Oryctolagus cuniculus: one gene and its partner. The protein of the gene in region 1 interacts with the protein of each later gene in a biochemical or structural test. Links are inferred from orthologs where the notes say so. Each region holds a gene or a part of one and is shown in the gene's direction. Other genes may lie near its edges.

What was found.
Region 2: the proteins of RFWD3 (region 1) and RPA2 form a complex in vitro, tested with the Homo sapiens proteins (3 studies listed by BioGRID, with this or other methods). The link is inferred for Oryctolagus cuniculus from reciprocal best matches to the Homo sapiens genes RFWD3 and RPA2.

What each region holds. Positions count from the first base shown.
Region 1 is NC_091449.1:57,204,289-57,208,101, reverse strand, and holds the end of RFWD3 (E3 ubiquitin-protein ligase RFWD3), read left to right. Parts: intron 1-1,067; coding exon 1,068-1,211; 3' UTR 1,212-3,376; downstream 3,377-3,813. UniProt on the Homo sapiens protein: E3 ubiquitin-protein ligase required for the repair of DNA interstrand cross-links (ICL) in response to DNA damage. Plays a key role in RPA-mediated DNA damage signaling and repair.
Region 2 is NC_091438.1:143,738,595-143,742,407, forward strand, and holds part of RPA2 (replication protein A 32 kDa subunit), read left to right. Parts: intron 1-1,678; coding exon 1,679-1,792; intron 1,793-1,969; coding exon 1,970-2,064; intron 2,065-3,813. UniProt on the Homo sapiens protein: As part of the heterotrimeric replication protein A complex (RPA/RP-A), binds and stabilizes single-stranded DNA intermediates that form during DNA replication or upon DNA stress.

The sequences.
Region 1 (3,813 bases):
TAACCAGTAATATTGTGCCTGTTTAAGATAATTTGAAGCACACAGTGCCTCCTGTAAGGTATACTTGAACCTAAGTTTAATCAAGGCTGATAACAACATTGTCCAGAATACTAGCCACTTGAAATGTGGTTAGTATGAGTGAAGAACTTTGTTTTAGTTAAATATAAACATGGCTAGTTGCCACTGTTTTAAGAGTGCCATCCTGAGACTGTTGTTAACCTTCACTGACTGGAATTGTAGGGAATTGAGCCACAAGTTGAATGATAGCACAGAAAGCAAACAAGCCCAGGTTGTGGGCATTCTGTAAGACAGCTGACCCAGCTTCTGCAAGGTGGGGGCAGGGGGAAATCGGAGATTGGATCTGCTCTGGATTTAAAAGAAATAGCTACCAAATGTAATGTGGACCTGATAGAAACAAACAGGATGTAAAAAAAAACTCCCCGGGAAGTTTATGTACCAGGTTTTAGATAATAGTATATTCATTTTGTTGGACATGATGGCATTGAGGTGTTAGAGATGCATACTTAAGTAAATAAGGGTAAAATGGCTGAAGCTGGTAGAATAAAAAAAATAGGGTTGATAAAACAGATATAGTAAAAATGTAATGTTGAATCTAGGTGATGAGTAGCTCATTGTACTATTCTGTCTACTTTTTTAAGTGCTTTTAAATGTTTTTAGTAATATTAAAAGTTATTAGAAAGGAGAAGGAAGCACAGTTAAAAGGTATGTTCCCTGAGGACTGTAACAGGGGCTTTGTCTTACTGATCCTTTGTCACTAGAAATGACGGCCCTAGAAGACTTCCTGGTACAATAATTGAAGAAATGAGTACCAGGCTTGGTTTTCAAACTCATTTCAAAGTTGGAATAACTGCTGATTATCCTAGGTGAAGCTATACTTGTACCATGTAAGGTATGCTGGCTTTTGTGATACCTTGTGAAGGTTAGGAACAGTTTGTTTGCTCCCCAGGCATGGCTCTCTCAGTAGCTCTTTCAGAGTTGTTTGATGATTAAGAGAGCAAATCCCCAACCTGAACTGACTACTAACCTTTGTCTTTGCTTTTCTTTAGCTGTGGGATGCCAGCAATGGCTCAAAGTTACAGGACCTGCAGACTGATCATCCTGTCTTGGACATCTGCCCATTTGAGGTGAACCATAATAGCTACCTGGCCACCTTGACAGAGAAGATGGTCCACCTCTATAGGTGGGAGTGACCATGGTTTTGAGCTTTCAGATCTACTGATGGTTCATGTTAAATGCTTTTTGCTAGCACCTAGCAGCCTTGAGTAATATTCCTGTTTATTGCTTGTGGACAACTTTTGGGATCATGGTTCTTTTGGATTAATATGATTCTGGGACTCCAGGTCACTTAGACACTACAGATTGTGTATCTGCTATATCCCTTAAAAGAGTAAGTACTGGTGGTCCATCTTCATTTTCTATTTCTTGAGTTACGAGCCTTCTTGAGTCTTTTTTGGGAATCTGTCTTTATTTCCTGTCTTTCTGTTGGACCTGAGAATATCCTCTCAGCAGTCTTCTAAGATAGGCGTGTTCACCAAGCGTTTTCCAGGGGATATGACACCCCACTTGAATGGTCTTTTCACTGGGTTAATTGCTTTGAGAGTCCTGCATTGTTTGCTGCTTGGATGCAGCATGGATGTAGAAGAGTCCTTCTCCAGTTAAACACAAGAGGGCACTGTGGAACCTTGTGTGTGATTTAATTTATTTCTCAGCCTAATGGCTGACCTTTTGGTACCTTGGTCTCATCTCCACAGAAATGTGTGGTAGAACACATCTGGCATGCTTTGTGGCAACAGTAGTTACGTTTGAGGCACACGGTGCTGGAATGTCAGCAAGCCCAGTGATGAAGGCAACTGATGAGTGTTAGAATCTTTGCTAATGCTGAGTACATTAAACTCATTGCATATTTTGAGATCTAAAGACAAAAGACCAGTTGTTTGAGCAATAGGGAAGGCTTGTATATTTAGCTATTTTAGGATCTCAGGGTTAGTTTTATCCAATTCAAAGCTTTAAAGACTACTGCTTTCCTCTCTCACTAGGAAAAAATGAATGATATGTCAAAGCTCTTATTTTAGTCTCACCTAAGATTGAGAGCAAAGGACTAAGAGCTCACAGGAGAGAAGCTACACTCAAACCATTTTTGAGGATAGAACGGCTTGTTTTTTACCATTTTGAGAGTTCCTATCTCAATAAAGCCAATCCCTCAGAGTAAGGGACTGTTCTTGAGCATGTTTTTAGTTCCCAGGTAAAAGCTTTCCTCTCTGAAATTGATGTTTGACTCTTAAGTTCCTCTGATTTTCCTCCATAATGTTTTGTAAAAGTGTAGGTAATAAAAGGTTATTCTCAGGAAGAGAGTGGTGGCTGGAGACCCACATGGTGGCAGGGAGATGCTCACCAGCTGTCGTTCCTCTCCTGCACTGGCCAGCACTGAGCGCTGGTCTCTCCACTGGAGGCTCAGTTTCTGTTTGCCTCAGGCTCCTCTGCTGAACCACCGTCTTCAAGGGGTGGCAGGTCACTGCCCTGTTCTTTGATGCAGGATGTTTTTTCTTACATGATTGTCAGAGAGATGCTACTTTTATTATAAAACAATTCTGAGCTATCAACTGTCTGGAAGGTTGCCAGGATTTTTCTCATTGTTGTGGATTTCCCCAGAGTTCCATATTCTAGTTACTAACCTTTTTAATGGCCTCCTTCTATTTGAGAACATCTTTATAAAAGCCACCTTCTGGAGTCTGGGCAAAACTCCCCTTTCTTGGTGGAGATGTTCCTTATGATATGTTGATTAAGAGTGGCTCCCTGGGCCCGACACTTCAGTAGAAAGTCATCTGATTTCAGCAGACTGGCAGAGAGGATGCGAGTGGTCAGCCTCTGACTGCCTTTCTCTTTGGGGTAGGTTAGGATTTGACTTGCTTTGAAGTCTACTCAACTGATACTCATTGGTTTCCCCTAAGAGTAGGAACTAAGGGATTTGTTACTAGGGAGGTTGGGTGAATCTCAAGGTTTGCCTGACCTTGCATTCCTACAATATGCTTGGATGTTTTGGAAGCGAATTGACGTGACTATGACTGATTTCTCCATGGGAAATGGGGGACCACCCTACTTGCAGGAAGCTGTACCTGACTAGCTCTAGTCCACTGAGCACTACCAGGGTCTCTGTCTACCATGTTCCCTTACCTCTGTCTACCTCTGGTGGTTTTCCCATTAGAGGGTTTGGAGTTAAGCTGATTTAAAATGTCTTTTGTATGTTTTGTGCCTGCTTTGAAAATGGGGCAATAGATTGTTGTTCATATTCTGTTTTAATGTTTGTATTTTCTGCTTTAGTGTTAATAAGAAAATAAAGAGTTTGCCATGTGTAATATCTCCTAGTGTCTTGTCTCTTTGACTACTATAGCCAGGAACAGGTCATCTGCCTCTTGGCAGAGGGATGTAACCCCAGCCTGGTGTAGATTTTTCTATTGTATGCATACTATATCTGAGTTACCCAGGATAGCTAGTATCTGGTTGTGAAGTAAACATCTTATTGAAAACAATAGAGGTGGTTAATATTTCAGCTGTGGGGCCAGTGCTGTGGCATAGCAGGTAAAGCCGCTGCCTGCAGTGCCAGCATCCCATATGGGCACCAGTTCTAGTCCCAGCTGCTCCACTTCCGATCCAGCTCTCTGCTACAGCCTGGGAAAACAGTGGAAGATAGCTCAAGTGCTTGGGCCCCTGCACCCATATGAGAGACCTGGAAGAAGCTCCTGGTCCCTGGCTTCAGATCAGCGTTGCGGCCATCTGAGGAGTGAACCAGCAGAT
Region 2 (3,813 bases), on another chromosome or scaffold:
CCTTTTTACATTTTAGGAGGGCTGGGGGTGGGGGTGGGGTAGTGGCAGCAGGCAGAGGGGAATTCCTGAAACTGGTCTTTCCCGTGACTGGGGGTGTGGGTATGAAGACAGTAGGATGAGACCCATTTGAGATTCAAGGGCAAGGAATATATTCCTATGTGCATCTCCTTTGGGCAGCGAGGGAGAATGGCTGAGGCTTATGTCCTTGTCCATCAGAGAGCGTCTCCCCAGACAGGGAACAACATGTTGAGAACAGAGGCGAGTTTGAGGGTGGCAAGAAGTCAGGCGCAGCTTGGGAAAGTGTGGGAGAAGTCAAGAGGAAGTACAGAGTGGACTTGAGTCTTGCATGTCTAGTCTGTTTTCACAGGCAGAGGGAGCCACCGGACAGCTTTTAAGCAGAGCAGAGACATGTTCATAGGAAAATGCCAGGGGTAGCAGTGGGGGGCAGGGGCTTTGATTGGCATACGGGAACTAGAGCCTGAGGTACCAGTGAGCGGGGAAAGAATCGGCTTCATTCACAGGCCGTGGTGATCGACTGTGGAAGTCTGCAGGGTTGGGATCGGAATTGGTTTACTAATGGATGTGGGCTATAGCAGCGGAACAGGTTGGGGAGGAAAGTAATGGATTTGACTTTACTCTGAGTGTCTGAGCTATCCAGGTCGCAGTACCCAGTGGAGAGCCAGCAGTGAGAATGGTCAGGAAGAGGTCTATGGGAACTGTCACTTTTTTTTTTTTTTTTAAAGATTTATTTATTTATTTGAAAGGCAAAGAGAGAGAGGTCTTCCTTCCGTTGGTTCACTCCCCAATTGGCCGCAGTGGCTGGAGCTGAGCTGATCCGAATCCAGAAGCTTCTTCTGGGTCTCCCACATGGTGTAGGGAGTCCTTGGGCCACCATCTTCTATTCCTTTCCTAGGCCATAGCAGAGAGCTGGAACTGAAATGGAGCAGCCAGAACTCGAACTGGTGCCCTTATGGGCTGCTGGCACTGCAGGCAGCGGCTTTACCTGCTACGCCACAGCGCTGGCCCCGTCTGTCAGCCTTTTTTGTAGACAGTAGAAGAGGGAGCTATAGTGGTATGTGAGAAGGTGTGGTCAGCAGTGTGTGCTTCTGAGACGGCAGGCTCTGGGCAGAGGGAAAGAGATGTGTGGGTCACTGGGGGAAAGGTCGTGACTTTGAAGAGAAAGTTCCAGAGGTAGATTTGGGGAATTCCGATAGTGATGGGCTGAGCCGGGACCAAGGAGAAAGGAAATAAAAACAGTGCTTATAGGCTCGCTTTGAGGAGTCTGGTGTTAGAACGGAAGGAGAGACAGTGGGGACTGTGTCTCCGTTGGTCTCTCTGTGTAGCCTCGTGCCTCGCTGACCGGTCAGTCAGTGCCCAGGGGATTGAGCCCTGGGGTCCTATCACAGCAGGTCTCTGGGGCTTTGCTCTCCATGCTGCCTTTCCTGTGGTTCTCACACTGCAAAAAAGAGGAGCTAGGAGTGTCTGTCTGTCTGTGTGTCTGTCTGTCTCTCTCTGATATTCTGTGCTGCAGAGGACTATGAAATTCTCATCAGATAGTAGCTGTCCTTCCAGTGTGAGCAGTTGTCATTGGGAAAGCTCTTCGCTTAAACTGTTTCTTATCGGCTGCTTATTAACAAATTGTTTGAAATATTTCTAACGTTGTGAACTCCTTTTTTAGCTCCAGCCCTCAGCAGGGAGAGCATCTTTCAGCAATCCAGGAATGAGTGAAGCAGGAAACTTCAGCGGGAACAGCTTCCTGCCGGCAAATGGCCTCACTCCAGCCCAGAATCAGGTAGCCCACACCTGTGTGGCCTCAGAAATGTTGGCAGTCGGCCTTGCGTGGCCTTGCTTCCTCAGTGCACTAAGGCTCCCAGTACCTGGCTCATTTCTCCCTTACAAAGGGACTGAGGTTTGAAAAGGGCAGTGTATTTATGTGGTTGCTAATATGTTTCTGATTTGAATCTTGAAGGTGCTGAATTTGATTAAGGCTTGCCCACGACCTGAGGGATTAAACTTTCATGATCTTAAGAACCAACTCCATCACATGACTGTGGCCTCGATCAAGTGAGTATTGGGTTTCTGCAAGCTGGGGTTCCACAGTTGTACCCATTTCACCTCATCAGGGTTTCCTAGGGTGGAAAAGTAGCCTTTGGCACAGCAGTTGTTACCACTTGGGACACTCACATCCCGCAGTAGCTTCTCCACGTTCAAGTCCCAGCTCCCCTTCCAGTCCAGCTTCCTGCTAATGCTAAGGCGCTAACTCCAATAGTTGGGTCCTTTTCACCCATATGGGAAATCCAGTGAAGTTCATAGATCCCAGCTTTGGCCTGGCCCAGCACTGGCTGTTGCAGGCATTTGGGGAATAAACCAGTACATGGAAGATTTTCTCTCTCTCTCCCTTTCAGATAATAATTTAAAAATAAAAACCAGCAACGCAGTAAAAGCTTGCTACAACCTCATTGACAGAGGGGAAGTTGTTCAGCGCGGATACATGGAAGGACTCAGGAGAGGGTGCTGCTCGGCACATTCATAATTTTTTTTTTATTTTATTTATTTATTTTTTTGACAGGCAGAGTGGACAGTGAGAGAGAGAGACAGAGACAAAGGTCTTCGTTTTCCGTTGGTTCACCCCTAATGGCCGTTGCGGCCAGCGCGCTGTGGCCTGTGCACCGCGCTGATCCTAAGCCAGGAGCCAGGTGCTTCTCCTGGTCTCCCCTGCGGGGCACATTCATAATTAATTTGTTCATTCAGCAAACACTAAGGTCCGCTATGTAAGAGACGTCATTCTGAGCAGCGGCCTGATACCTCGTGGGCTTTACACTACGGAGGGAGGTCCCTAGCTCCTGACCCTCCGGTGTCCCCTTGCGGACGTGAGTGCATTGGGCTCTCTAGACTGGAAGCCATTAGACGGTCTGCTGACACCTCAGTCCACTTCAGACGAGCAGCTTCCTGCCGCAGTATGATGAACTGGCCAGACCGACTGAGCACTGCTTTGCTTGGAGGTGGTTATTTGTTACTGTGAACCAGTTGATAGTGTAGGCCTAGATAGGAGAGAATGTCCAGGTGTAATTCCATTTCCTGTTCTGTGAAGTGAGGGGAATAGCCCGTATCTCAGAGTGCTTGTGATGATGAGGAACAGTGTACCATAAGTGCTTTAAGTGACTTCTTTTTTGAATGTTTACTTATTTATCTGTTTGAAAGGCAGAGAGAGAGACATAAACAAAGATAGCTTCCACCTGTTGGTTTACTTCCAAAATGCCTACAAAAGGGCTGGACCAGGCCTAAGCCTGGAGCCTGAAGCTCCATCTGGGTGCTCCCATGTATATGGCAGGGCCCAAGCTCTTGAGCCATCATTTACTGCCTCCCAGGGTACATTAGCAGGATCGGAAGCAGAGGAGTGGGACTCAAACCAGCATTCCAGTAAGGGAGTGGGCGTCCCAAGCAGCAGTTCAGCCTGCTGGCCACAGTACTGGCCCTCTACAGATAGCTGTTTGGTGGCCAGTGTCATGGCTCAGTGATCAAGCCACCATTTCCAGTGTCGGCATCTCCTATCAGAGCACCTGTTTGAGTCCCAGGTGTTCCACATCTGATCCATCTTCCCGCCAGTGCACCTAGGAGGACAGCAGATGATGGCCCAATTAGTTGAGTTCCTGCCGCCCATGTAGAAGACCAAAATGGAATTCTGGGGTCCTGACTTCAGCCTGGCCCAGCCCTAGCTTTTTCAGGCATTTGGGGAATGAACCAGTGAAAGCAAGCTCTCGCTCGCTCGCTCGCTCTCTTTCTTTCTGTAGCTCTTTCAAAGTAAGAAAATCT